Linked DNA regions of Notamacropus eugenii. The protein of the gene in region 2 purifies or fractionates together with the protein of the main gene of each other region. This does not show direct contact. Links are inferred from orthologs where the notes say so. Each region holds a gene or a part of one and is shown on either strand. Other genes may lie near its edges. The genes, in order: DROSHA and DDX17.

Region 1 (15,123 bases), on a different chromosome or scaffold from region 2:
TTTGTGACTCTTCTGCATCTAGCTTCAGTCTCTTAGCCAAAGGCATTGCTCCATTTTCCTCTTGACTGCTGACCAGCTGGGAAGGATTTACCAGAATTACATCCAACTCTAAAGGCTTTGGGTTCTCGAGCTGGTCTTCAGAGACATAAAGACCATCACTTAAGAAGTAATGATCTGTACTTGTAACCCTAAATCACAGGAAAACAATTTCCAAAAGTGAAAAATGGGAAAATGTTAAAATTTCAGTGTACATGGTAGGAATAGGAGACATCTAAAAACATAATAGAAAAGCAATATTTGGAGAAGAAAATTTCATAACTTGTAAAGATATATCTTTTTGTGAAAATCCAGGGTTTTCAAGTTTTGAAAAACTGAAAATGGAATTTTAAAATTTACCTTTATAATACTTAACATGGAAAGAAAACTTACTGAATCACATGAACATGAGTGGTAGGTGTCTTACCTTTGAAGTATCAGCATATTCTTAAGTTTTTAAAAAACAAGACAAGCATCAACTAATCAGCATAACCAAATGCTTCCCTAGAACAACTCTTAGTCAAGTAAAACATTACCTTTTATTTACTTTTCTCTTTGAAGGGACTTTAAGTTAGGTCCTTTAATGACCAGAATCTTTTTCCTATAGCATAGTTCATCAAATTAAAAAAGAACATAAATGGATAAAAATCCTTGAATTACTTGATAAGAAACCATACATAAAAGCATCCTTCACAGTCTAACTAGGAAATAAAATTTCTACACTAACTGAAAACTAGACCAGCATATTATTAAGTGTTCTAAAAGAGAATATTTTAAAATACATTCTCATTTAAAATTTGGAAAGGCAGCTTAGTAGAGTGGAAAGAAGACAGGAGTTAGAATGTGAATTTGATCAGGGTTCAAATCCCAGGATAGACACTTACTATCTGTGCAACCTGTGGATTAGACGAAATCTCAGGTTCTCTTCTACCTCTAACATTCTGTGTCTGTGTGAAATTCACTTTCTTTCATTTATCCAAATTTCACTGACTATACTGAGCAGCGCATACATATATTTTGTCTTCAAGATCAACAAAGAACAGAACCTGTAAGATGAAAAATGTGGGCTAGGCAATCTCTGAGATGCCTTTTAGCTAGCAGATTTGGTGACTTTGTAAGAACAGCTAATACTACTCCCATAGCCTCCCCCAATCCCTCAAGGCTTCTGTTGAACATTTAGCTTAACTGCTTAAAGGAGTGGAAAATCATGTCCAATACATCAAGGGCTTGTGATTTCATCAGTGTGATAATTCAATTGGAGAAAGCAGATCACAAGCTGTGTATAACATAAAGAATTAAGTGAACTGCCTGAGGCTTCGAAAAGTTAAGTGATTTTTCCATTATGCTGAAGCTAGTAATTGTCAGTTCAGAGGCAGAATTCAAACCCAGGGTCTCCCTGACTGGCACTCTAGCAATAAAATCATATTTCATTTTTATTAACCTGCTAGCTATCAGGTCAGGCTCACATTTTACAATATTAGTTTTACAAGTTGTCCTATACACAACTTGAAAATAAATAATTTTTATTATGTATATAAAAATACTGCCAGTACAGCATATATTTTGTTAGAAAAAAGTGTTTTGATATCCAAAAGTATTACACTGGTAATACAAGATACATAGCAAAGTTTGTTATACTGGTGTACATAATGTAAATTAGTCATGTGTAACACATGCTATGGTAGATGTGAATTATTATGCACTTTAGCCCTCTAAATTGTTTAAAATTAATGATCTTAAAGGACCACTCTAGATCTAAATATGTGATCCTAAGATGGAAATTCTAATGCTACAATTGGTGTTAGTAACTGCATGAAAATGGCTGGAATAGTTTTTAAATATAAGTGAAAAAAAAAAGAAAATAATATTAAGTTGATATGTAAGATAAGGACCTAATTCTACATAAAACAGCCTATTTGGTCACTCAATTGTTAATGACAAAATAGTATGCAGTAATAGAAAGGGAAAAACAGCAACACATTCTTTTTTGTGTTTTTTTAAAATAACAAAAAAATTTTCCATACTAACTGAAAACTAGACTAGTATATTCTTAAGAGTTCTAAGACAGAACATTTTAAAACACAATGGTGCCACTCTCATTTAAAATTTGGAAAGGTAGCCCAGTACAGAAGAATCCTGAAAACAAAAATTCACCAAAATTTACACATTAAAATAAAAATCAGAAAACAGGAAACATTTAATTCTGGCAGTGGTTTCAGAAAAGAATGATGAAAATGGAGTCAGAGGATCTGGGTTCTAACAATAATTAATCCCTCTAAGCTTCAATTTCCTCATAGGTAAAATGGGGATAATAATATTTGCACTACCTCTCACGGTGTGAGAGAAAACTAGTTTTTAACTGAAAAGCACAGATAAATATGAGTTATCAGTGAGATGAAATGAGAGAACATCTGGAAATTAAAATAAGAAAAAAGGATCTAATATTGTGCGTTGCATACACTACGTTTTGCATTATTTAATCAAAGGGTCTAAGGGACACTGCCTGCCAAAGAATTAAAGTGAATTAATGAAGTCACTCACGAGATGAAAAAAAGATTAGAATTCAGAGTTCTATTTTAGAACAAAATTATAATTTGAAAGATTTAAACATCGACTTAAATTTAAGGGCAAAATATAAAAGTACTATGTGCATGTGCGGCAAGTGCATTTGGGTGGCAGAGAGATGGATTTATAAGACAAAACCTGGATTCAAATACCAGGTCTGACAATTACTAGCTCAGGGCAAGACACTGTAACTATCTAAGCCTCAATTTTCTCATCTGTGAAAGGAGATATTAGTACTTACATCACAGAGTTGTTGAGAGGAGGGCACTCTCTAAGCTTCTGAAGCCTACAAAGACATGAGCAATAGCTCATTATCCTATTTAGCTATGACTAAAAGACATGAAGCATTCAACCCTTTTCATACCAATAGAAATGATAATGTGCTACCTGATAGTTGTAGTGGAGGTATCTTTGCCCACTAGAAAACAATGTTTGCCCTCCTTGATTTGCTGAGCCCATGATGGATGGAGCCATATTACATGAGAAAAATGACCTGCATAAACTACAGGCATAATCCAGTTCTCAATACTCAATTCCCTAGAGAAGAAATTAAAGAAGAAACATTTAAGTTATAAATTAAAAAACTTTCATTTAAATCTAAAAATACTCTTTACATAGTTAATATGCTAGAACTAGTTAGAGAAACACTTACTTTTATCAACATTTGCTTGGTTTACTTTAAAATTCCAAGCTACAGAAAATTGCTACTGAAAGGAATGAAAATGAAAGAATTACAGTACTTCTCTAAGGATCAATACCCCATCCAAAAAAAACCAAAAGAGGATGGTGGTGGTAAATTGTACGTAGTCTTTTGTAAAAATTTAAAAAAAAGGAATATACAGTCACAGAAAAATACTGAATAAAATTTCAGCTGAATGAAGTTGGAGTTGTGTCAGAGAAGCAAGCATAATTCAACATCAGGAAAACAATCAACAATTCTCTTTAAAAATACAATAATGTGGTCCAGGGGATAGAGGGCAGGCATCAGAGTCAGGAAGAGCTACATTCATGTGCCACCTAAAATAGGTTTAATGACCTTAGGAAAGTCACTTAATCTCTCAGTCACTGAGGCAACTCTCTACTGCTATAAGCACAAAGTGGAGACCTCTATGCACAGGTAGGGGTGGGGAAGAGAAGTGTGAAAGCAGAGTTTCCTCAGCAGAAATTCAAAATACCAATGAAATCACAGGTCTGGGAAAAAAACCAAAAACATCACAAACTACTTGATTCTATCAGTAGATGAAACAGAACACACATAGAGAAGTACCACATCTAAATGACTGTATGTATATATGTGTTTGACGAAAAGTTACCATTATTTGCAATGGGGAAACTCTAGAAGCTTTCACAATAAAGGAGTAAAAGAAGAATGTCACTTTTCCCACTGTTTTATGACATAATCCTACAAACATCAGCCCTAGCAGTAAAACAAGAGAAAAAAACTAAAGGCATAAGCATAGATGAAGAAGAGACAAGATGAATCCCTATTTGCAGATAACATGATGGTTTCCTTGGACAATCTTATAAAGCAAGGAAATGGATACAGTAGCTTGGATAAAGTAGCAGAATACAAAATAAATGCATGAAAATAAACAGCATTTCTATATATCAACAACAAATAAAAAGAAAAAAATAATAATGCTAAATTGTGGTTTTCTAAGTAAATATGTGGCTGTAGGGATCTGTTTCTATTTGAGTCTGATCCCACTGACATAAGAGATAATCAGGAAATGCATGATCAGAAAAGGAAGTGAATGGACAAATAGAAGGAGGGAAGGATAACAGATGGTTAGTGTTCTATTGGTACCACAGAAATGTACAAAAACCTAGAAGGCCCAAAGCATACTGGATGAATTCTCTGTGGAGGATCTTTGAAGACAATCAGCAAGAGGCAGAGGATGAGATGGAATAGATTTAATTCCAACTTGCAACAATAATCAATATTTAATTTAAGTTCTCATATGCAACGAGGCAATAAAGTACATTATTTATGATGGATAGTTTCATTCTTTTTCCTAAAAATCTGTTGTGACATATTCTGTCATATTTGGGGGATGTTTTAAGGGAGATTTAGCTTTCAGGTAAGGAGTTATGGCTTTTGAGGTCTCTTCCAAATGAGATTCTCTAATTCAGAAATTAAGGATCATAACTGAATTTATATAAGAAAACTTCTCATATTGTCCATGACCTATGACCTAGAATAGGGTATATACTCCAAAGAGGTCAAAGAGAAGAAAAGCCATATATGAGTTATAGTGCCCCCAAACCTCAAAACAAAGTGGATGCGCATCTCTTGGGGAGTGACTCAAAATGAACAAACTACGTTACATTAGTATAACAGCATACAATTTGATGTTGAGAAACGACAAACCTGAGGAATTAGAAAAAACACAGGAGTAATAATAGACTAAGACAGAATGAAAGAAACAGAATAATAATAAAAATAATAATTGGAATTAAAACAGCAGCTCATATTTACTTGGTCTTTAAGGTTTGCAAAGTATTTTATATACATTATGAAAATACTAAAAAGGAGTTGAAAAGATTGCTTTGCTTAATTTTTCTCCCTGTGTCCCTCTTAAGAAAGCAAAAAGAGAAAAATAAATTCCTTGTAACAAATGTGTAGTCAAGGAAACAAATATCCACAACGTGCATAACCAAAATGTCTTATCCTGCATTTTAAGTCCATCAACTTTGTGTCAGGAAGTGGGTAGCACTGTTCAACTCTGGTCCTCCGGACTTTGATTGGTCACTGAATCAGTCAGGAACTCTGCTTAATTGTAATGCTCAATCTCATTAAATTGAGAACTGATGACAAAACATTTCTTCACTCTCTCAAATGTTTTGTTATCAATTCTCAATTTAATGACAGCAGTGGGATAAGCACAAGTAGACTACGGCACATATATCACATATATAGTCTTGTATCTTTGGTTTTGCTTGCACATGCTTCTTTTTTTATAAGGAGGGTTCATGGAGAATAGGGAGGAAATGCAGAGAGAAAATGGGGTATAAAAATAAAAGACACAATAAATCTAAAACCAAAAAAATCACTTTTCAGCAAAACATAGTACACTGCAAATAGCACAGAAAGCTATTTGCTCAACCTTTTACTCCTTGCCTATGAATTTTGTAATTCAAAGCAAAGGAAAAAAAAAACAAACCAAAAACATATGCTGTGGGCATATGTGACTCAGGGCAAATTAAACTTATAGACAATTCTACTTCCTTAGTTACTAAACATCTGTATTAAAAAAACTAAGTTTCAAACACATGAGAATTGACTAGTATTGAATATACATTACCCGAAGAGAGCTTCCTTGTCAAACACAGTATCTGCTGGCATATTTACGGGAATAAGGAGGTCAGGATGTGAATCAAAATGAACAAAAGTTATGTTATTGGCAGGAAGATGTTTTGAGCCAATAGCTCGGTATATAAAAGGCAAGACCTACAGGAGATAAATGAAAGCACAAATACATTATATTGGCTTTGAGAAAAAAACCCTAAAATAAGAAAACTTTAACATCATAAAGAGCTAAATTTTAAACGGGAGAGATGTAGCATTATTTATTGTTGATGATGTCCAAATCGCTATTTCTAGTCAGTGCACTGTCATTCTATCCTATCTCTAGAAACAACTACTAGTGTGATCTAGAAGGATTGCTTAACTTCTTCAGGACTTAAGTCTCATTTATAAAATAAAGGTGCTGAAATGGTTGATCTCTAAGGTCTTTTTTTTTTAGCTCTAGAATTCTATGATTCTGTGCCTAGAATGGAAGATCTTACTTTCTGATTCTTCCCTCCTCTCCCCCTGGAACCTGCATTAACTAATTTCTCTAGGATATATAGACTGATGACTTAAGGGCAAGGCTTCCTAAAAATATTACTTATAGTTCTAGGTTGGTGACTGTTATCTGCTGCATAGGTAAAACCAAAACAAATTCATTATATGAATTAGATTTTTAAAAGAATGAAAGAATCATAGTTTTTAAAAGTTCAATATCACAGTCCTACTGGTTGCTATACTCAACCTGAGATCAAGGTCCAAAAACAGAGCAGGGAGTCTGGCTTTTTTCTTTCAACTACTGGAAATGAAAATGTACAATAGGTGCATCCACTGTCTCTCCGCTCACTCTCTTCTTAATCCCTTGCAGTCTGGCGTCTGATCTTATTACTCCAACCAAACTGTTCTTTCCAAAGTTACTACTGATCTCCTTGTTGCAAAATCCACTGTCTATTCTCAATCCTCATTCTCTTAGACCTTTCTTCAGTCTTTAACATTGTGGATCAACCTCTGACTTGATGACTGCTAAGAATTTCTTCCTTTTGTACTAGACTGAGGAAAAGGGCCTCCTCTTTTGTTTTCATAATTATTTTATTTGTATTCAGTTGTCTACAATCACTGCCATATATCTTTCCCCCTCCCCCCCTCCTTCCCTGTCCCTTGGTGCATCATATAGGTTCTACACATACATTCTTTTAAAATATATTTTCACTTTAGTCATATTGCATAGAAGAATTAACATGAATGGGAGAGACCATAAAACAAAACAAAACATAACACAAGAGAAGATGGTCAACTTCATTCTGCGATCCAATTCCACAGTTCTTGATGTGGAAGGCATTTGGCCTCAAAAGTCCACCGGGAAATTTTTAGGTAAGAGGACCTTAGCTTCTGATAGTGTCTCACTCTGAGGGAATAAACTGTAATTCTGACCTCTAGGTCACTTGGCTACTTACTGGCATTACCCAGTCAATGAATCCCAGGACAATGTCGTAATAACCCCATCTACAATTTGTACTTCGGTTTGCATGCTCTCTCCCCCATTAGATTGGAAGCACCTAGACCGTTGGGCTTTTCTTTGAATCTGAAGCTCTAAGCTCAATACCTGGGACACAGCAGGCGTTAATAAATGCTTAATTCATTCTTGACTGATCACGTTCTCTATTCATTAATCCATGCCTAACTCCATTACCCTATGAGTAGTCCTTCAAAACATTAATACCACAGATCAATCCCACCATGCGCCAGGCACTGTGCTAAGAGCTGAGGACAATACAAAAAGACACAAAAGATCAATTCTGCTGACCACGGAGCTTACGTTCTAATGGAAAAGAGTAACAAGAAAAAATAACACAAACAACATACATACAGGACAAACAGTAAATAAATGGAAGAGGGAAGGCTCTGGAATCAGGAGAATTGGGGAAGACTTTCTGTACAAAGCGGGATTTTAATTGGGCTTAAGGAAAGCCAGGTTAGAAGGGGAGCATTGCAGGAACGGGGGTTGGGGTCCAGAGGAAGGCGCGAACCCGAGAGATGGGGGGTCCCTCCCGTTCACTCAGCAGCCCGCGGCGGGGTCAGTGTCACGGGGGCGTGGGGTAGATGAGCCCGAGGCGGGGGTCAGGTGGAAGAAGCCTGGAAAGACAGGAGGGGGCCGGCTTGGAACACCAAACCCAGCGTTTTGTACGTGATCCCGGGGGTCACAGGGAGCCCTCGGAGTTTGAGTCTGGGGAGTGACCTGGTCGGGCGCGCGCTCTTCCAGGCCCAGCCCTGACACCCGGGGCCGAGCTCTTACCTCCTGGTGATCCTCCACCACCCACACGGGTAACTTCGGGTAGAGCCTGAGCGGAGGCCGCTGGCCGGGGGACTGGGTCATTTTGATCCGCGCTCAGAACTTCCAGGTCCCCAGACTTCCGAGATGGAACCTCAGGCTTGCGAATGTTCCATGTGAGGAGTGAAGGAGGAGCTACGGGGAGAAATTTAGAGGACCAAAACACTCCAAACCCTACAAGCAGGAGAAAACTAATCAGCGGAAATACTAGCTTTCACCCGGATGTGGAAGGAGGAAGGGCGGGCCAACCTAGTTTGAATCTCCCCGCCCCCTGAGGGATGCACAGCGTTGATTGGATCTTCTAGGCTTTCTCTTCCTGACGCAACTAGCTCCTTTACCCCTTTCGGAGGGAAGCTGGAGCGCATGCGCTTGCCGCAGGGCTGTCTCATACGCCGCAGTCCTGCCCTTTACTCCCTGGCTTCCGGTTCCAGTGGTGCGGGCTCTCCTGCCGCAGCCTTGGCCCTCCGGCTCCTCCCTGTTTCCCCCCTGGTGGTTGCTGCGGTAGAGGAGGCTGGCGTTTGCTAGTGTCGGGCTTCGCTCCCCGCCACCCAGCTGCTTTGGCAGCTCTTGCAGGTAAGGAGAGAGGCCCACGGATGCCACCTGGTTTGCGGGTGTCTGTTCCAGGACTCGCTGTTCCCCCCGTCCCAGGGGAAGCCGCCGTCTCACGGAGGCGGGGCGGGGGGGATGCTGGGGCCAAGGAGTCGGGGCTGGCTCCTGGCCTCGGTGGGGCCTGCAGCTATGTCCCGGCCCTCGTGATCCTCCAGGCTCTCCCGCTCCGGAATCCTGGGACGAGCCCGCTGCGATGCAGGGACGCGAGAGGCAAAGTGACCCCACTGGGGATGCCTCCGTGAAGTAGCTGCGCGGTGGGGGTGGGGAAGGCGAGCCGGGCGGATTTCAGATTTCTCTTCTTTGATTCATAGGTTGCCATGGGCAAAGAATTCATCACCCTACGGACAGCCCGCTGGTGATGAGCCTCTCTGTACGTAGCTGAGTCGGTCCTTGGAAGCAGTCAGCTTTTTGTCGTTGCTGCATGCGTTTTACCTGAATTATTCCTCCTGTAGCCCTAACCTTCCCTAAGGCGTCTTTCTGCTGGCTTACTTTTGGGGCGGGTGGGGGCAAGGTAATTTTCTCACTTGATAGTTTTACGATCACAAGTCTTTTTTTTAAGTTAAAATTTTCAGTTCATGCATTAATTTACTGTGTCTTTGGAAGTTTAATTTCCTAATCGTTTCATTTATAAATATAAAAACTTCCAAGATGTGTAGTGGTGTAGTGGATGGAAGTGTTGGAGTCAGGAAAACCTGCGTTCAGATCCTTTCTTAAAGAAATAGCTGGGCAAGCTACATGGCATAGGACATCTCTCAGTCTTAGTTTCCCCATCTATAAAATGGGCATAATAAGGTTGTGGTGACAATCAAATGAATCAGCATGTTAAAATACCTTGTAATCGGTAAGCTGCCATACAGAGCACTGTTTTGAGAATATTTTTATATATTGAACTTTTTCATGATAATGCAGTAAGCAAAACACAATACAAAATTGCAATAAAAGCAGTTCTTTCCATACAGTAAACATTTCTCATATTTAGATAATTGTTTTCAATATCTTTATAGCCAGTCTTATTTTCTCTCCTGAACTTCATTCCTGCATTAGTAAATATTCTAGTTGACATTTCAGACATAATGTCCTCAAAATCAAATCAACGTGAGGAAAACTGAACTCATCCCATTAAATAAATGTAAGCTCCTTGAGAGTAGAGATTTGATTACTTCTTTGTATTTGGATTCCTATTTCTTACTGCAGTACCTGGCACACAGTGGACTCTGAAATGCTTGTTGACTGATGAACCTTCCTCCAAAATTAATGAATTTTCTGAACATCTCTATTGCTGTTGGTATTATGGTGTTCTATGATTCTTCCAGTCACTCAGGTTTGCACTCATGGTGTCATTCTTGACTGACTCTTCACTCTCATTTGTTCTCTGTATCCCATCAGTTGTCAACTCTTGTTGTCCAGCTCCTGTTGTCTGTCAGGGCCTTAGGAGGTCTCAGTTAGACTTGAAATAGCTTCCTAGTTGGTCTCTCAAGTGTCTTTGTACTTCCATTCATCATTCCATTCTCCACACAGCTGCCCAAGTGATTTTCCTGAAGTGTAGGGTAGAACATGTCACTCCTCCACTGAATAAAATTCCAGTGACTCCCTAAGATCAAAGATCAAATAAAGACTCTTTGGATCATAAAGCCGTTCACAACTTTGTCAGAATTTAACTTGCTGCCTTATTATTGTAAGTTACTCCCTTTCACATATATTGTGGTTCAGCCAAACCTGCCTTCTTAGTGTTTTTTATACACAATGCTTAAATTCTGTTCTGTGCCTCTGTGTTGATTGGGTCTCAGTACCCAGAATACATTCTCTCATCATCTCCAGCCCTTTCAGTAAGAATCCCAAGTTTCTTCAAGGTTCAACTGAAGGACCATATATATGATGCCTATCCTCATCTCAGCTGCTAGTGCCTTCGTGCCAAATTTACCTTGTATCTGTTTTATATATTTTTATCTATCTGTCTCTATACACATCCTCTGGTTAGAATGTATGCCACTTAAAGTCAAAGATTTTCACTTTTATCTTTTAATACTTAGTATAGCATATTGACTGTTACATAGGTGCTCAATAAATGCTTATTGATTGATATAGGGAATACTGATATATAAAACTGAATCTATAATGAATTTTTTTCCCTAAATGACATAAAATTGTTGGCAGAGATAGTAAGCAAGCCCAAGTCTTCTGATTCCAAGTTCAGTGTTCCCTGTACTGTAACACTGTACTTATAGATAAGCATGTGTCTGTAGTTTATGATATACAATGTTAAAGAGAAGCATGTACTGTGCAACACTGTGCTCATAGATAAACATGTAATAAAAATGTACAGAGGTAAACTCTGGACATACATGAAAAAAGAATTTAATATTGTGACCTCTAGAATTCATTTTCCTTGTCTGTAAAATTAGGATGTTGGATTTGATCATGCAAAATTAAGCATTTTATTTAAGCTTCCTGCATAGAAAAGTAAGGATTAATTATGACTCCTTCACACTTAAAATTTTGAAGCCTTAAAAATTTTGCTTCCCAGGTATTTTGACCTTTTGGGAATAGTGGTAGTAAATCTTAGGCTTTGGGAAGAGTGATGGAAACATAGGAGAGATGAGGGCAAAATACAGGATAGAATGTGATAGATCCAAATGTAGTGATTCATGAGAAATGTTAGGAAAAGGTACTGAAAATGCAACATTGAAATGAGGGAGTATTCAATGAAAAGTCATTCTTAGATGAGAAATTCCACTGGATCTACGATCTTATTCATCAAGAGTATCCTCCAGCAATATAGACTGTAACCATCTCTATTCCTTCCTTTTCCTTGTATGACTTATATCTGTCCTTTAAAAAGTTTTCCATAAAGATGTTGGAGGCCTTCATTTCACTTGACATTAGGCTATCCGTGGAACATTGGCAACCCATCATCCCTTGTTCTTTCCTCATGAATAGCTTATATTCTCTTCCGGTCATACAGTTTCTTGATGACATCTTTTACTCCTGTTCTTCAGAGTTCTTGTTGTAACCTTATTACACCATACACTTTTCCATTTCCCTCGGTATGATGCTCATTTTTACTTCTTCACAGGCAGGTGTATTCCATGTCTTGATACCTTATAGCAGCACCAGTTCAATAGTATTAAAGAAATGACCCTTTGCTTATGTCAGAATCTTGAGGTAAATAAAGGAGCTTTGCAATTTCCCCAAAGCAGTTCAATTCTTTTGCCACATCCTGTTCAACTCTACCCAACTCATTGTCCATCAATAGTACTCTCAGTTGAAGCATTATGGTATGTTCATCTAGAAGCATGTTGAAATTTGAGTAATAGACATTTTTCATTCACTTGGTTTTTCCTGGGTAGATAGATAAGCCGAACTTCTTTGATTGCAGATCTCTTCCAGGAAGCTCAGTATCTCAGGACTTTTGATGCAGTCATCACATTGTCTTCTTTGAGCAACAACAAAGTGAGAATCTTGCTATTCACAGAGAAAAGCTCTTCAACCCAAACTCTGATGTATCAGCTCTGTAAAAGTGACAAATGCATTTCCCTGTTCAGTGCTTTGCCTCATGGTTTATTTTTTAGTCATGGGTTAATGAACAGGATTGTTTCTGTTATATCTTTAATTCAAATAAGATTAAGGTTTGTTATATGCTCAGTCTCCCTAACCTTTCTTCTCCATTTGTATACTTTTCTTCTCATGCATCCCAATTATGAAAAGTAGCAAGTTCTACCTCTTTTTTCCCTCTTTATAAACTAGTGTGTAGCCCTTGGTCCTCCCTTTTCTCTCTTAAAATTTGTAGAATAGAACCAAGTATTCTGTTTTTCTTTATTATTTCTCTTAGTACCTTTTGAAGACATTAAAGTTTTGAAGGGACACTTGCTTTTTCTTTGCTTATTTCAGTGTTAGTACTAAATCATCATTCAGCTTTAAATTGTTCAAATAATTTTACCTTTCTGAGTTTTTCTTGAGTCTTGTGTTTGCATTTCAGAGTTCATATCCTTTCTATTAAAGGCTTGAAAGCCCTCTTCACTTAAAAGTCCATATTTTTTTTTTCCTTTGCAGGATTTATTTAGCTATTTAAAAATTTAAGTTTTCTTGGTTGTAAGCTAGAAGAAGCAGTGGGTAGAGTGTTGGGTCTGGAATGAGAAACACGTGGGTTCAAATATGGCCTCAGACACTTTTTAGCTGCATTCCTGGTTACTTAATCTCCGTTTGCTTGTTTCCTCATATATAAAATGGGAATAGTAATAATACCTGCCTCCTATAGTTGTTGGGAACGTCAGATGAGGTGATAATTATAAAGCAGTTAACACAGGGCCTGACACATAGTAGGTGCTATGTAAATATTAGCTACTATTGCATACTTTTATCTTTTGCTTTTTGGAATATTTTTCCAAGATCTCCTCTGGTTTATGCTAGAAGCTTCCATGTCCTGTGTGATCCTGCTTGTGGTTTCTTTATTGAACTGTTTCTTTCTAGTTGGTTGCAAAATTTTTTCTTTAACCTGGAAGAACTAGATTTTGATTGACATTCCTGAGGTTTTCCTTTTGAATTTTCTTTGAGGAGATGATTGTTGGATTCTGTATTTCCTCATTTTGTCCCCTGGTTCTCATAAATCTGGGCAGTTTTAATTTATACTTTCTTGAAATACTGTTTTAATTTATGCTATTTTGAAATATCCAAGCTTTGTCTATATTTTATACTGATTTTCAGATATAGCAGTGATTCTTAAATGATCTCTCCTTGACCTGTTTTTCAGACTAGTTATTTTTCACATACAATGCCTTACATTTTCTAATATTCTTCATGATTTTGATGTAATATTTCTTGTCTCATGAAGTCATTCATATCTCTTTCATCTATTTTAATTTTGGGGGCAACTGTTACTCAAGTTAAGATTAACTCTTTGTCCAATTTTCTCTTGAGCTTTTATTTTATTTTTAAATTTCTTGCTTCATTTTTTCTGGGTATTCATATAGTTTCTATTGAAAGCCCATTTTTTTCCTTTGAATCTCTGCTTACTGTTGGTGTGGACTTATTTTTGGTTATTTCTCCAGAGATGGGGAACCTACGGCCTGAAGGCTACGTGTGATCCTCTAGGTCCTCAAGTGCATCCCTTTGACTGAATCCAAACTTCACGGAACAAATCTCCTTAATGAAAAGATTTGTTCTATAAAACTTGGGCTCAGTCAAAAGACTGCACCCAAGGATCTAGAGGGCCACAGGTTCCCCCACCCCTGTTAGACTTTATTATAGTTCTTTACTCATCTCTTCAATCATAGGTTCTAAAGTGACAGGTTCCTTCTGTTGTTGCTCTTTGGTCTTCTCTCCTTAGGTTCAGTTTGGGTCACCTGGGTACCTCTGCCAAATTCCACCATGAATTTTTAAGGTTAAGAACATTGGGAAAGCCCTAAATGGCATCTCGGGACAAAATAGTATAGATCTCTGAGCACCTGGGCTCAGAGTATCCACATCTGAACTCTGATACATCTGCATGGATTCTCCTGTTGTTTTGTTGAGAGCCCCTTTCATGCTTGCAGCCTTTCACACAGCCTTGTAAATATCTCTGATTATGCTGGTTAGCTAGTTGCTGGCTTTGATTTTTTCTGGTGTCCTCATTTCCTGTTTTTCTGATCTACTGCCTTTCTACAGTTACAACATGAAAGATGTCACTTAATGTAGTTTCTCATTGGATTTCTTGATTATTGTTTAGCACAGTGTTTTGGTTTTTTTTCAGAAGCTGATATGAAGAAGCTGAGCTTGGTGCCTCCATACAGGAAACCATCCTTTTTTTGTTTGTTTAAATAAGGATGCTGTTGTTCTTTTTTTTTTTCAATTGTACACCATATGCATCTTTTTTCATTCTTTTGTTTTACTCATTTTGATCTTAGCAATGATGAGTTGATGCTCTTAACTGTTTCCTGAAAGCTGATTCTTGGATAGCTTCTACATCAAAAATGTCTTACTAGTTCAAATAATTTATTTCCCCTTGCCCCATACACACGTATAGTGTTATTTGGTATTTTTCATGTACAGTATCTATCAATTCTTTCTTTAAAGAAACAAAAGAATTCATATTATAGTGTCAAGAGATTTCTATTTCATTCACAAATCTTTGACCTCTCTGATTCTTTCTTCCTGAACCATGATGTGCTTCATATTTCTCAGCATCCTTACCTTATCCAAACTTTTCATTGAAATCACCAAGAATAATGATATATGTTGATTTGATGTGGAAAGGCTTATCAAATTCTTCCATTTACTTTTTCTACCTTTCTAGCCTCAGCAACTGAAGTTGGAATGTAAG
Region 2 (15,333 bases):
TGCCCAAAGGGCTACAAAAATGTGCATACCCTTTGACCCAGCAATATCGCTACTAGGACTATATCCCCAAGAGATCATAAAAATGGGAAAGGGTCCCACATGTACAAAAATATTTATAGCAGCACTCTATGTAGTTGCCAAAAACTGGAAGTCAAGGGGATGTCCATCAATTGGGGAATGGCTGAATAAATTATGGTATATGAATGTAATGGAGTACTATTGTGCCATAAGAAATGATGAACAAGAAGACTTCAGAGAGGCCTGGAAGGACTTATATGACCTGATGCTGAGTGAAAGGAGCAGAACCAGGAGAACTTTATGCACAGCAACAACCACAGTGTGTGAGAGTTTTTTCTGGTAGACTTAGATTTTTGTAATAACCCAAGAACTTCTGAAAAAAAAAAAAATCCCAATGGTGGACCTCAAGGCAAAATGCCTTCCACACTCAGAGAGAGAAATATGGAAGTCACTCACATAATGTAGCAGATCATGTTTGTGTATGTGTATCTGTTTGTGTATCATGTTCTGATTTGTTATACGGATTCTTTCATTTATCTTAGTCTGACTACATAGCATGACTATAGTGAAAAGATACTCAATAGGAAAGTATATGTAGAATCTATACAGAATTGTATGCAGTCGTGGGGAGGGAGGGAGGTAGTGGGGGGTGGGTGGGGAGGGATAAAATCACAATTGTATGGCAGTGATTGTTAAACATTAAAAAAATAAAAAAATTAATTAAAAAAAAAAAAAAAAAAAGAATCTCTGTTCCAAAGGAATATCTCTTAACAAGATCATGTGAAGTTCACAGGAAAGCACACTTTAGAACACTGATGGTATCTATCACTCTCTCTTCTCTCAAGCGCCTTTAGGATTTGACAAATTTGAAATTCCTAGTCACTAAGAACTTTATGATCTACAGTCTCCCCATACCCTTTAACTTGTTTAAAAAAAAATCAATAATGTCTAGTGTATGAGCCTGAATGAAGGACCTCACCAGTGTGGATACTCCCAGGTCACCCATCAAAATCTGTGCAGGGTCCTCCAGTTTAGACAGCTGCCCATGTTGTCAGATAAGGGTACCTGGTGTCTACATTTAATCTATACAAAATTACCAATTACCTTTCCTGTTTATCCTTCGATCAATTAAATAAATCTCCCCCTTCATCAGTTTCTGTATCAGTGGTCTCTATACACAAGAGTCATAAATACTTATGTGAATAACTTGACTAAAACGAATACTTACGTGGGAAGTTAGCATGATGGAAGGCAAACACTGGCTTAGGACAAACATCTCCCCCTCTCACTGTGATCTCCTTCTTCCGGCGCAGTTCATCAACCTCGTACTACAGTAAGATGAAACCAAGCAGGTTGGCACAAAGTTTCTATTTGGGACAGTCATGGTATAGCTTCCTTTAACTTGGCAACCATTATGGGAATTTCCATTTCATTAAAATAAAGCCAAGTATCTACTAGGAAGCCTTTAAAATGCTGTTTTCCCCTACCAGTTTTAAGCATGGCGCAGACTAACGGAAATCTTTTGAGGAAGCTAGTGGTGCAGTGGAAAAAGGGCTGAGTCTGGAGTCAAGAAGACCCAACTTCAAATCTGGCCTTAGACTCTTATTATGTGACCTTGTCTTCTGCTCATCTCAACTTCTTCAATGGTAAAATATAGATAATAACACCTATATCTCCAGCTGTTTTAAGTATCAAATGAGACATTCATAAAAGCACTCAGCACAGTGCCTGGCCTATAACAGCTACTATATAAATGCTAGTTATTCTTAGTTATGGTTTGAAGTAACTGAATTAAATTCTACTGGATTATACTGAGGCATAGGAAGAGGTCAGCAATTCCCTATTCATACACAGAACTTAATGAGATGCACAATATAAAACAGCTATCCTTGTTCAAGATTGCATTTGTTTTTCCCACAAGATTTTTAGCTGGAGGATACAGAAAGATATAGAAGAAACTGGAAGATACAATAAAGGTATAGCAAAATCTTAATTATCTACAAATGGTCAAAGAAGTAGGTATTCCAGAGGCCTTATCATTTTTCAAGGCATCCTAACCATGTTTCAACTCATGTTGTAGATGGAAATTAATTTTTATGTTTACATTGTTTCTTAGTAACAAAACTGTATCTCATAGCCCTTATCCATTTGATGTTTAAAATGACCCTGTAAAGTAGTAATTCTAGCCCCATGTTACAAATGATCAAGTGAAGCTACTGCTTAACTCATTGCCGGCCATACAGTAAGTACTTAAGAAATGCTTTTTGACCAAAGGGGGGGAAAAGAAAAAAAGCACAGTATTGTGTTCCAAGTTGGATAACTAATCAAAGGCAAAGTCAACTAGTCTCCCCAATCCTAGACTGATGTTCTTCCCACTATGAAAACCCTCCTGTAAATGTTCATTTTTCTTTGATTTGGAATTTCTCAGGGCTCTAGGGTCATCATTAGGCCAAAAAAAAAAAAAAAATTTTCATTTTATCCTTTTTGTCCATTTGTCAATCAAAGTATAAAATACACAAAGAATAGTTTGACGAAGCTCTGGTAAATTTAGCTTTTTATTCTGTATCATATTGTAATAGTTCAAACTCAGATTATTACAGAGTGAACATTTGGAATGGAAATAAGCAACCAGATGGCTCTATTTTATAGTTTACTATTTATTTAGCACAAAGTAAAGCAAATATTGTACTAAGTATTCTCTAAGGACCCTTCCAACTTCAAATCCGATGAACCTGACAAGACATTTACAATTAGGAACAATACCAGTTCTCATTTCCTGGCTCTCAAATATTACTGTAAGTGGTGAATTATTTGTACTTTCCAAATATACTGAAATCATTTTATTGCAAAAATGCATTTTATACTGATCAACTATAACAGAGGTAAAGACATGGAAATAATAAGAGACTCATAGCATGTTAAGATAAAAACCACCACTTAAGTACATGCTTGCCATTTTATAATTTTCTTCATGTTTACAAAACCCACTGTAGAAACTTACCGGGGTAAGCCTGGCCACCTCAGGGTGTTCCACATAAAAGTTCTTCTCAAACTTTGGCAGCTCACTCAGATCCCATTTCTTTTTGCGCAAACGTTCCCCAGGATTACCGAATTTCTTTGGAGGTAGGCCTCCACCTCCTCTTGCTCCAAACCTAAGCCCATCAAAATTAGTCCACTTTATTTACATTTTTCAAAAAGTACACTAGACCCTTTCTTTTTAAAAGTAAAAGATTAAATAAAATATTAAATTAAACCTCAAATGCCATTCTAGACAGCTACACCTGCAGACAACAAAATCTGGCTGTCTAAAGTCTTCCTCATCAATGCCTTTTCCATAAAACTGAACATCAGGAAGTGAGGAGTCGGCTCTCCCAGTGTCTAACATTAGGATGCTCTTCCTTCCCCACCTTGTAACATGCCATGCTTAATTAGATTCTTCTTTCACAAATCTACTCAGAACTTATTGCTATGGAAGCAATTCTGGAAGTCCAACTTTATAATTAATGCATGGCTTATTTTTAAAAGTCCAACTGAGTCTCCAACTTTTTCCTGTAATTCAAATTATTAAAAAATCTTGATATACATACACAATTACAATCTTCTCTAAATATAAATAGGAAAGGACAAAAAGGACAGTTCCAACTTGTTTTGAAGAATTAAAATCACTCATGTTCCTTTGAAACCACTGGCTTATTTCACAAAAGAATCTTTCATCAGTGAATAAGAACCATAAAGGAAGTTCAAAAATGAAACCAGCAAAGACAGCCATTTTAGCTAAGTAGCTTAATAATGGATCTTTTCCTCCATCTCTGGATAAAGCCAGCTTGATATTTATGCATACAGATCACAGGTATCAGAAAATAAAATATTAAGGCCAGCAAACAGTTAAGGAAATCTACATAAAATGTGGCATTTTCCTCCTAATCTTTTAAGTAAACTTCTGAAAAAGATAATTTGAAAAATTATTTTGGAGTATATAATATTAAATGGAAAAATTCCTCCAAATAAAAATTATTCAAATTTGCTCTTTAAAATTACTTTGTAGCAGTATATTAAATGAGGTCATGTAAGCAAAATGTCTAGTGATTGTTTACACATTTCAGAATGAAGATGTTCCTATTATCCGAATATCTGTATTCACTTTCGACAGTTTAAAGCAAACAGAACAAAGAGATTTCATTGGAGAAAAAAGGTTTCGTTCTTTTCATATAAACAATCCCCAGCTCAAACAGTCATTTCAACGGCATCTTCTCTAGCCTACACCACCAAGACTACAGAGGCAAAGCTAACAGGTTCTTCTCCAAACAAGGAAGCAAAGGCCTGCGTTTGGGTTGGATTAAATCTCCCAGCTATCCATTTCTGGTTTAGTTCTAACAGCACTGCTCCATTTTTTTTTAAACTAACAAATAAAATGATGCACCTATTTTCTTAAGAATGTCAGACCTTTGCTCTTGCTATTAATACAAAATTATTTTATTATTTTGCACTAAAGATGGGTGGTGATGGGGTTTAAAAAAATTGTCTGACACTTTATGTATTTGCTTTCATAATAATGTGTTTAATAAGCCCAACAACTCTCTTTAATGATTTAAATTTTACTAATTAGCAATTAACTAATTATAATCTGTCCTGTTATATCAGAAAGTTTCTGGATGAAACCATTATCAATTGAAGGCTATTCAACTCTTTCAAACACATTTATATCAATGAAAGCTAAGCCAAAAAGGTTGCCCACATATGGATTTGTATGATCTATTCCATCTTTAAAAAAAATAACCGTTCAAGTGGGCTTTGCAAGAGTACAATTTGGGGGATCGGTAATATCCAACTTCTTACCAGTTATTTTTGGATGCTAAATATTTATGTAATTTTATAAAATTTCTGGTACGTATTAAAAGGATGCTGAGAAGCTGCTGGCCAGAACTTTGCACTATATCACAAAAACAGCCATCACTTACTTAACCATACCCATTCCTGTGTATATCGTTTAACAATTTAGTTATCTGGGCAAAAATAAGTTGGGATAATTGAGAAAGGAATGAAAAGGTCTTTACAGGCACCTAAAATGGCACCACTTTATTTGTACTAAGGCAACTGTTCTGTCATTTGAAATTTATGGAGGCATTCAGGAATAGCGCTAAGTAATGAAACAAGAATCAGAAGCTGCTATCTTCTCCTGATAGTTACACCTTAAGGTACATTATCATGAAATATATGTATCTGGTATTTGTATAGAGAATAGGCAAATTCAAACCATTTGGCTCTTCAACAAGCTAAAGTGACATTGAGAGGCAAAATCAGACATGATCCTATTACTATATATTTCAATATGCTGCAGACCTGATCTATTGGTTTTTAGTTTAAATTTCTCCAGACCCCACTCCCAAAAGATTTTATACCACCATTTAACATTTTGAAAGCTTAGAATTAAGTAGTTTGTATAATAACTCAAATTTAAAATTCACCTTCCCAAAATCTGAACTTACAATGAGAAAGCTCAACTGACCATATTAAGGATCCAGTAGGAGAATGGGCCTTGAGTCTTTTAAAAAAAACCAAGACCATTACCCTTCATACCTGATTTAAGACCTGTCAAAGAGGCAGCAACTGGCTAAATACCTTCTGTATTCTCTTAAATGGGCCCCCAAAGCACCTTCTTCAGTTAAAATGCTACAATTAAAGAGTCTACAAGTAGGAGTGCATATTCCAAAATGGCAGCACCATGTTTCTTTGAATCTTCTTAAGATAGAAAATCGACATTACTCTGCACTGGTGGAATCCTCAATGCAATGAACAAATGTTTTACTTAATGCCCACTAGATCTCCATCAGAAGAGAAAAGTCAAGAGTAAGAGTGGGCAATCAGTATACCTGGCTACCTTCCAGGCCAGGGCCAGTCAATGAGTCATGTGATCTAGGGAAAGTCCTTTGACCTGGCTGGAAGCTGTTGGCTTCCAAGATCCCCTCTAAGGATCAAGAGAAATGCAGCACTATACAAATTAAAGGATTATTAACCTGCCAAACGACTTTAACACATAAAGAACTCTGAACCCAAAAAGCTAGATACTAGACACCCTTAGCTGGAGATGCCACAAGAAGCTAAGGCAACAAACAGAGGCAACAAGGGAAAATGCTAGTCTTTCTTTAAGCATTAAGTGCCCCCCAGGTGTTAAACCTAAAACCACAATATTCCTGGCCCCTACGGACCTTCCATTTCCTCCTCAATTTGATTCCAAATATCCCTCTTTATTTCCCCACCATCCTCTGGAGCACAGTAGTTTTTTTCTGTAATCTTTGTTTTAAAAGGGTTTTTAAAAAATCCTATTTCTGTATCTGATGGGGGATTCCTTTCTTCCCTTCACCACCAACGGCCCCTTGGAGCCCGAGATCGTGAGGATCTTGGCACTCGAGCCTCGGGGCCAGGTCCTGCTCAGCTCCACGGGGAACTTTTCCGGGCCTGGTTCCTGGCCCCTCCCCCCACCTAACAGGATTGGGAGCGGAGGGAGAGGAGCGCCGCGGGCTGGGCCCTCCCCGACCTTCCTCTCCTGCGGTATTTCTGCGGGCCCTCTGCGGACGGGAAAGCGCTCCCCGGGGCCGGGGGGAGGAGGGGGCAGCCTCCGCCACCTCCGGCAGGGTTCTCGCCTCCTTTCCCCGCCTCTACAAGGCTCCGAACAAGGTCCACACCCTCCCAGCTCCAAGGCCTAGGTTCCTCTCCGCGCCTCGGTTTCCCCATCTGGACCCGGGGCCAAGTCGCCCCGGCCGCCCCCTGAATAAATAAGGGCCGTTTCCCGCGCCGGTCCTGCCTCAGTCTCCTCCTCCGGGGGTGCCCGCGGCCTCCATGGTGACCCCCCCCCCTCCGCGCCTCGGGGTCCAGCCCAGTCGGCCCGCCCCCTCCCCCTGCCTCGGTTTCCCCGCCTCACCCTCCGCGGTCCCGGTCCCGGTCGCGGTCTCCGAAGCCGCCTCCTCGCATGGTGGCGCCGGGGTCGGGCAGCGGGGCGCGGCCGGGCGGGGGCCTGAGGAGCAGCGAGGCGGCGGCGGGGGCGCAGGCCGCGCGGAGGGGCCCGGCGGAGGCGGCGGCGGACGAGGCCGAGGCGGGCCCGGGGTTCGGAAGCGCTCGCTCCTCGGCGACGTCTGCCGTCGTCGGCGTCGCCACCGTCGCCTGCGGTCGCGTCGGAGACGGGCGCGGGGCTGGGAGAAGGCGGGCGCGCTGCGGCGGCGGCGGCGGCTGCGGCGGCTCCTTCCTCCCTCAGCGGCGCGGCTCCACAAAATGGCGGCCGCCGCGCCGTCTCCAGCGCTACGCACGGCCCAGGCGGCACGTAAGCCGCTCCGGATAGCGCGCCCCTCCCCCCGCCCCGCGCGCCCCCAGCAGAGGGCCCCGGCGCCATTCCCGAACGCGCGCCACGCCGACTGCGCAGGCGGCCGCCACCCGCCGCCCGCCAGGGCGCCCCCGAGCTACGCAGCGCGCGTAGAGCTGGCGCGCGGCCGGGGCGACGACGTGGCGTAAGCTGGGGCGGGGGAGGGGCGGGGGAGAGGGGGAGGGGCGGGGAGCGGCCGGGTCGCTACGTAACATTCCTGGCGTCCGCAGCCCGCCGCCCGCCCGCGACCGCGGCACTGCGCCCTCTACGTAGTGTAGCGGAGGTGGAGAATACCGGGTTCCGGCCTCCACTGCGGCGGCGTCGCCGCGACGACAATAACGTCCTCCATGTTGCGGGCTTTGGAGCGCCGCCGTCCCCGCCCTTCCCCCCGCCGCTGTCCGCAGGGCCCGCCCCTCCCCCTAACTCGCGGTGCGCCTGCGCACCGGACCTCCCCCCCACCCCCCGCCTCTTTTCGAGGTGCCCAGTAATTATCTAGCGCTCGGGCTAGCAGGCACACTGCAGGCGCTTAATAAATGCACAACGAGCTGGCCGCTGAAAGCCGGTTCTCCGGTCCAAGCCTGTCCCTGAACTGGCACTGGATTGGGTTCCCTGGTGCGCCCCTCCTTAGACGGCAGGCGGGGGAAGGGGGGGGAGGTTTGGTGTCTTTAGCGAACCAAGAGCTTGGTTACCAGTAGGGGCTTCATAAATGCTTCGTGACTTCCCTCTTTTTACCCCAGAAGAAACCGAGGGAAAGTGACTGGCCTCGAGACCCACGGCAGGATCTGAGCCCGGACCTCCCCGGCTCGGGCCGCAGGCTCATTCTCCCTCCAGTTGGACCCCACTTTCAGGGACGCCTTTGGAGTGGTTGGTCGTTTCCTTCAATTCATTTTGAAGAGGAGGAAACAGGGTAGGTGACTTGCCCAGGGTCACACGGCTACCTGGCGTCTGGGGTCGGATTTGAACTCAGGTCTTCCAGACTCTAAGCCCAGGGCTCCGCGCTGACGGCGCACCAAGATTGCTACAAAGTGTCAGTCCTTAGGCTAGCAGACGCTGGGAAGGAGGTGGGCAGGCTGGAAAGCGAGCTGCGCAGGACCTGCTGGCCCCAGTCCATCCCTGATGGAGAGTGAGGTCCAAGGCAGGAGGCCTCTGCCAGAAATGAGCCGGTGACCTTGGCCAAGTCACTTCTCTAGGACTCAATTCCCTCATCTAAAAATGGAGAACTTAGATTTGGCATAATGTTCACCATCTCAGATGATTCCTGGCTAGTTCCCTTTGGATAACACTAGGACTTGGCCTGGATGTGCGAAGCACTGGCATCCTCTGCCTCATCTGATCCCCAGGACAGACCCATGAGGTATCGGGATCTCAGCCCTTCAGCTCCCAGGGCTTCTCTTACTACTTGTGTGGGGAGCTCTACCCCTCCCCCTCCAGTCCCACAGCCTTCTTCCCCTATGTCGCTTTGGGCTCCTTCCTGCATGAGACAATACCTTCCCCAGCCCGGACTCATGCTGTCTTCCCACGATAATATTCCGTCAAGACTTTAATCTTTTCTCCTTAATGAATTCACCAGGCACTTTTTAAGGGCCAGCATCAATCACTCAATGTCTTCTAGACCTCCCTATTTAACTCCATTCAGCTAATTCCAATTGTAATTCCAGTTCCTGGGGGTCACTGTCCTTAATTGCTTTTTTAAAATAATTTATTTTTAATCCTAAGCTTAGCAAACATCAGGGAAAACACAAACATTTCTATTTGTGGAGAAAAAAAGATTGTGTAGGAAACCACAAAGCTCTATTATGGACAGCTTGGCTTTTTAAAGTATGCGTTTAGTTAAATATGGCAGTTTCAACACTGGCCTGCTTGTCTGATTCCCCTTCTGTGTATTTTAAAATATTTCACTGACACTTTTCTTTTTCTTTTTTGGACATTAGTATCACTCCTTCCTCATTTATTTTCAGCACCCCCCCCCCACACCCAAAAAAAGGCCTCCCTTATTATAAAAAAGCATAGTTGATTTATGCAAAGCAAAATCACTCCCTGGCCGCATCCGAAGGTATATGTCTCCTGGATCCTCCTCCATCTAACCTCTTCCCAGACATGGGAAACAGACTTCATCCTCCGTCTTCCAGGAGTTTGGATGGAGCAGCATTCTGAAGTCCTTCCCCAGTTATTTGTCATTACAGTGTGGCTGTAGTGTAAATTGTTTTGGCTCCTCTCTGCATCATCATCCCAAATTTCTCTCAATCTGTCCCTTTTCTCATTTCTTATAGTACATTACATCCCATTACATTCATGTACCACAATCTGTTCAGCATTTTCCCAATTGATGGGCACTCACTTTGTTTACAGTCTTTCTGACAATAAAAAGTACTGGCTAATAAAAAATTGTGTACATATGGGGCCTTCTCCTCTGTCTTGGACCTCTTGCAAGATATATGACTAGTTCAAGAGACACACACATAAGTGATTTTGGGGGTATAATTCCAAGCTGCTTTTAAGAATAGCTGGAGCAATTCACAGCTCCTATCAACAGTCCACTGGTGTACCTGGCCCTCCCAAAATTGTCATTTTCCTTTTTGAGGCCATCTTTGCCAGTCTGAGCTAGAATCTACAGCTGTTTCAACTTGCATGTGATTTGAAGCATTTTTCCATCTGGCTGTTGATACCTTGAATTTCTTCTTTTGAAAACTGCCTGGTCTAGATTTCAGGAAAACCTGGAAAGATTTATTTACATGGTCTGATCCTGAGTGAAGTGAGCAAAACCGTAACAGTGTACACGGTAACAGCAACATTGTGCAATAATCAACCACGATTGACTTAGTGGTGATTTCCTCAGTGACACAGTGATCTAAGACATTTACAAGGACTCATGACAGAAAAATGCTGTCTACATCCAGAGAAAGAACTGACAGTCTGAATGTATACTATTTTCAGTTTCTTTGTTTTTTTCATGGTTTTTCCCTTTTGTTCTGTTTTTTCTTTCACAACATGACTAATGGGGAAATATGTTTTACGTGACTGCATATGTATAACCTATATCAGAGAGGAGGGAAGGAAGGAGAAAAATTTGGAACTCAAAATCTTGTAAAAAATTGTCTTTACATGTAATTTGAAAAAAAATAAAATGACTTAATTACCAAAAAAAAAAAAAAGCCACCCAACACTCTGCCTGGTCATCTCCTCTGACCATTGATCTCCTGGGGAATACCATTTCTTTCTAAGACAGAGAGCACTGTACCTTTGCTCAGGCTATCTGGCTTATTTGGAAGGCTTTCTCCTTACTTCTATGTTTCTCTGAAACCCTAGTTTCTTCAAGGCTTAATTCTACTGCCACTACTTATGGGAAACCTTTCCTGATCACCTCAGGAAGAAGCAAGGCACAGTGAAAAGACCACTGGCTACAGATTCAGAGGAGCTGGGTTAAAATTCCACTACCCAAGTGATGACCTCTCTGGGCCTCAGTTTCCTACTCTGTAAAACTAGGTCTGATGTCTCTTACAGCTCTAGATCTAGTTCCTATGACATGATTGGTCCTTTTTCCTCACTCCAATTGCATTTATTTACTTTTCTGGGTAGGATGAGAGCCAGGAATACTTTATTTTGAATCCCCAGGACTAACCCAGCACCTAGAACATTTCGTGGTGGGGTGAGGAGGAGAGAAGGGATCTGCAATTTCATCCCTCAGAAACTTCCTCTGATAGTATAGCTGGAGAACCCTTTGTAGTTTACAGTCTTCTAGGGTAGCCTAGGAGTTGTGTCTCACCAAGATGTGTTGGAAGCAGGCTTTGAATATAGGACTTCTTGACTCTAAGGCTGGCACTCTGAGCACCAAGCCATGGTTCCTCTCACTTCACATATGAGCATAACGAATATTTGCTGGATTAAAGGAAATTCACATTTTAAATAAGACTGGATCCCTGGCCCTCCTGGGAAGGTCTTATGCCTTCCTTGTTGACTTCTTCTGCTTATCATCCCTCTCCCTGTTTAAATATAATCTCACCACACTAACTGACCATCCATGCTACCAACCATCTCAACATTTCTCAAGACACATCCCACAAGCCTAAAACTTTTATAAGATGTCAGTTTTACATTGTTGCTGACTCATCACCCACCATGGGACTTTACTCAAGGTAGGTGCTCAATATTTTTAAAATTAACTGTAGCTAGAAAAAAAAACTTTTCCCATATGATCTTTGTGCATGTCTTTTCTGGTTCAGGCCAAAGGAACTGAACAATCAAACTGATGCCATGGACTTGACAGAGCAGGAAGGAGCCCATAGAGACCTTTCTGCTCCAACCTTCTCATTTTACCAGTGATGAAACTGAGGTCCAGAGAAGTAAGCAGTGACTTGTCCAAAGTCACCTGGCTAGTGAGTGACCAAATTGGACCCAGTCCCTTAGTTCTCTTTCCCTTCTACCAAGACTGAAAAGAAGCAGAGATTTGGAGGTTCAGGGGGTAGATATGTAGCAGCCTAAGGAACAGTAAGGTGAGAGGAGGGCTGGTAATCTTGCTAACCTATAAAAGATTCTGTTCAGAATTTTGGAAATCTCAGGAGAGACTGATCAAGATTATAGAAGCAGGGGCAGCTAGGTAGCACAGTGGATAGAGCAGTGACCCTGGAGTCAGAAGGATACAAATTCAAGTCCAGCCTCAGATACTTAGTAGCTGTGTGACCCTGGTAAATCACTTAACCTTTTTCAGCCTCAATTAAAAAAAAAAGATTACAGATAGCTAGTTGTAATAGATTACAGGGGTAAATTACTTGTAATGATCAGTCTTGGTTCTACAGAGGAGATGATGAAATATCTTCTCTCCTCTAGCTAGAGAGATGGGGGTAGAAAGGCTATGGGCATAGACATGGCCATTTGATGACTAGGCTTTACTGTTTTTTTCTTTGTTACAAGGGAAGGTTTGATATATATTAGATCAAAATAATTTGTGTAAAAAACGTGGCATCAATAGAACTTTTTCAAAAGGTAAAGGAAGCAACAAAGGGGAAATGATCAGAGGGAAGCTTGGGAGTTGCACTGGTTCTTAGGATTCTAGGGTACTGGCCTTGAAGTCACAACGTCCTGAGTTTGAATCTTGCCTCAGACTCACTATGTGCCCCTGTGCTTCTCAGACTCAGTTTCCTCTTCTATGAGGTTACTGTGAAGTTCAGATAACATATGCAAAGTGCTTGGCTATGTAAACATTTCTATGATCATCTGCATTTACCCAAGAGGTCACCTTGTCCAAGACTCTCATTTTACAGATGAGGAAACCCAGGTCCAAAGAGGTTATCTGACTGAACTCACACAAGTAATAATAAGTGGCCAAGCTGGGATTCCCACCCTGGTCCTCTGACTCAAAAGCCAACATTCTTTCCCCTGCCTGTATAACCAGAAGAAGGGGATTCATTTGGGAGCTGCCATGGCAAAAGCCAGGAAACCCCACAAATCAGGTTTCAGGGAACTTGGAGAAGTAGTCTGAAGCTAAGAACTCACTAAGATTAGTAGGCCAAAGGGCTGGTAGAAATGAGCCAACTGGAATGAGGCAAGGAGAAGGAGGAAAGAGGTGGCCTGGAAGAGGCTGATTTACACTTAGACTAATGCCAAGCCTGTTGAGTAATATCTAAATGGAATGACAGGGGACTTGCCCAAGCACCCAAGGGTGTTCTCACCTAAAAGTTTACATGGCAATGTATAAGGGATGGGAAAGGATGGACACTGGAGAAGAAAAGGAAGGGCTACAGCAGCAGAGAACAAGAGGAAGACTGGGGGGTTTGTTCTGGTACCATCCAGGGAAGATGGCCCCAGAAGGCAAGACAAACCAACAAACATTAAGAGCCCACTATGTGCCAAGCACCAGGCTGAGAGCTGGGGTACAAAAAAAAGACAAAAACCATCCCTGTCCTGGACATCTGCTTGGGACCTTCATGCTAATCTTGGGGTTTTTTAAATCAATGTCATGGATAAATAATAAAATAATAATATTAGCACATAGAAAAGTGCAAGAGCACTTGAAGGTGTGCAAAGAATATTACACATGGCCTCCTCATACCATATTTGCAAATGAAATGGAATGGAATCCAGAAAGCTCTCTGTAGGCTAGAATGTTGTGGTGACTGTAATAAGATGAGATTCAGAAGGAAGAAATGTAAAGTGTTAGATCTGGGTTTGAACAATCTATTTTATCAGTACAGAATAGGAAAGTTATAGTTAGATAGTAATCTGAAAAAGCCCTGAAACTTTTAGTGGGTGTGAAAAGCAGTGTGGCCTGATGGGGCGGAGGGGGGGCGGGGGGAGGGAGGGAGGGAGAGAGAGAGAGAGAGAGAGAGAGAGAGAGAGAGAGAGAGAGAGAGAGGGAACCTGCAAATCAGGAGGCCTTGGAGACCTACTGGACAAGTTCCTTCTAAGCCTGTACATTTGTTCTTCTTGACAATTAAAGTTGTCCCAAAGTGGAATGGACAGTCAGTGGAGGTAGTAGGTTCCTCCCAATGGAAGTCTGGCAGGTTGACAGATTGTGGCATATGTTATAGAGGGAATTTCTGGTCAGGCTAGACTAGCTGGTCTCTGAGGCCCCTTCCAACTCAGAGATCCTGGTGTTTTGTGTCATGAGACTCATGGTAGAAGAACTGCATGTGCAGGATGTACTAAAAACTTTAATTACTTAAATCTACACAAATACTTTGGGAACACCCAGTATATAGTTGGGAGCCATGAATGGGGAAAGTATTGATTCCCAGATCCTTTAAATTCAGTATAAAATTTAAAATGGATTTTAATTCTATTTTTAAGATTTCATCAAGCTGGCATAGGTTTATTCTCTCTCACACCACATGAGTGTACTCCTTGCCCTTGTAAACTCACCTTTCACCTACATGCTAGAGAAATGTGTAGAAAGGTCAGGCTTTTGTCTTCTAACTACCTCTACCCTTTACTAGGGTTGGAGTAAAGTCCTTTGAATCTCAATTCTAAAGTTTGTATCTCTGCACTGGTATTGTCCACCCTTGTAACCTCACCCACCAGCCACTTAACTCATTAAGTTAATTTAATTAAAGCCCTCCTACAGACCAAAACAGTGTCTCCAGACTAATTTTATTACCTGAAGATTACTCCCATCTCCCCACAGGAAGTAATGGGGAGAAGGCAAAGTAATCTTAACCCACCTCCTCATGAAAACATATACCAATTGGGATGGTTTCTCCTTTGCTAGGGGAGATCCCAATGATGTACCGTCAGGCCAATCAGAAAGAAGACGCACCTAGACCTTGTTGGCCCTCACTCAGGGTCTACAGTCATTGAAAGAGGCCATTGATGCACTTTATTGGTTACTGCTAGCCTAACTAATAAAATTAATAAAAGAATCTTGCCTCTGTTTACCTTCATTTTCAAACATAACACCAGAATTTTCCACCATTGTCCCCCCACAGGCAGGAAGGAGACATTGCCCAGATAAGTTATATGGGGCAGTGGGTGAAGGAAACTTCTCTTCTGATTCATCATAAAATTTCAGATCTGAAAGGCCTCCAGGTTTGGAGGCAGGGAGAGCCAAGTTCAAATCCTGCCTCTGATACTGACTGACCCTGGGCAAGTCACTTAAACTTCTCTGTTTGCACCTGTTTCCTCATCTGTAAAATGGGGATAACACATAAACACCTACCTCAGGAGGCTGTTGTGAGGATCAAATGAGATATTTGTAAAGTGCTTAGCACTTAGTAAGTGAAATATAAATGTTAGTTATTATTATTATCATTAGCTCGGAGGAATTAATGCAGTAAAAAAGCAAACAAACAAACAAACCCACAGGTTCGTCTCTGGGATCTGCATTATATGAAATAATGGCCTTAAGAGGATGTCTGTGTTCCTGCTGCTGAATAACGGTAGCTACTTATTTGAAGTTTATTGTTAATGGGTAGTCAGGATGCCTCTGGCACCCAGGAGAGGCAGTTTAGGATCCCAGGGGACAGCAGTTC

Evidence for each region.
Region 1: the proteins of DDX17 (region 2) and DROSHA purify together in Homo sapiens (co-immunoprecipitation; 3 studies listed by IntAct, with this or other methods). This does not show direct contact. The link is inferred for Notamacropus eugenii from reciprocal best matches to the Homo sapiens genes DDX17 and DROSHA.

Annotation. Positions count from the first base shown.
Region 1 is NC_092875.1:390,996,349-391,011,471, reverse strand, and holds the start of DROSHA (ribonuclease 3), read left to right. Parts: upstream 1-8,627; 5' UTR 8,628-8,792; intron 8,793-9,139; exon of another isoform or gene 9,140-9,198; intron 9,199-15,123. Other genes in the region: C4H5orf22 (UPF0489 protein C5orf22 homolog), read right to left, coding at 1-188, 2,843-2,887, 2,989-3,138, 5,907-6,052, 8,184-8,264. UniProt on the Homo sapiens protein: Ribonuclease III double-stranded (ds) RNA-specific endoribonuclease that is involved in the initial step of microRNA (miRNA) biogenesis.
Region 2 is NC_092874.1:295,922,878-295,938,210, forward strand, and holds the start of DDX17 (probable ATP-dependent RNA helicase DDX17), read right to left. Parts: upstream 7,260-15,333; 5' UTR 6,988-7,259; coding exon 6,938-6,987; intron 3,171-6,937; coding exon 3,020-3,170; intron 1,347-3,019; coding exon 1,247-1,346; intron 1-1,246. UniProt on the Homo sapiens protein: As an RNA helicase, unwinds RNA and alters RNA structures through ATP binding and hydrolysis.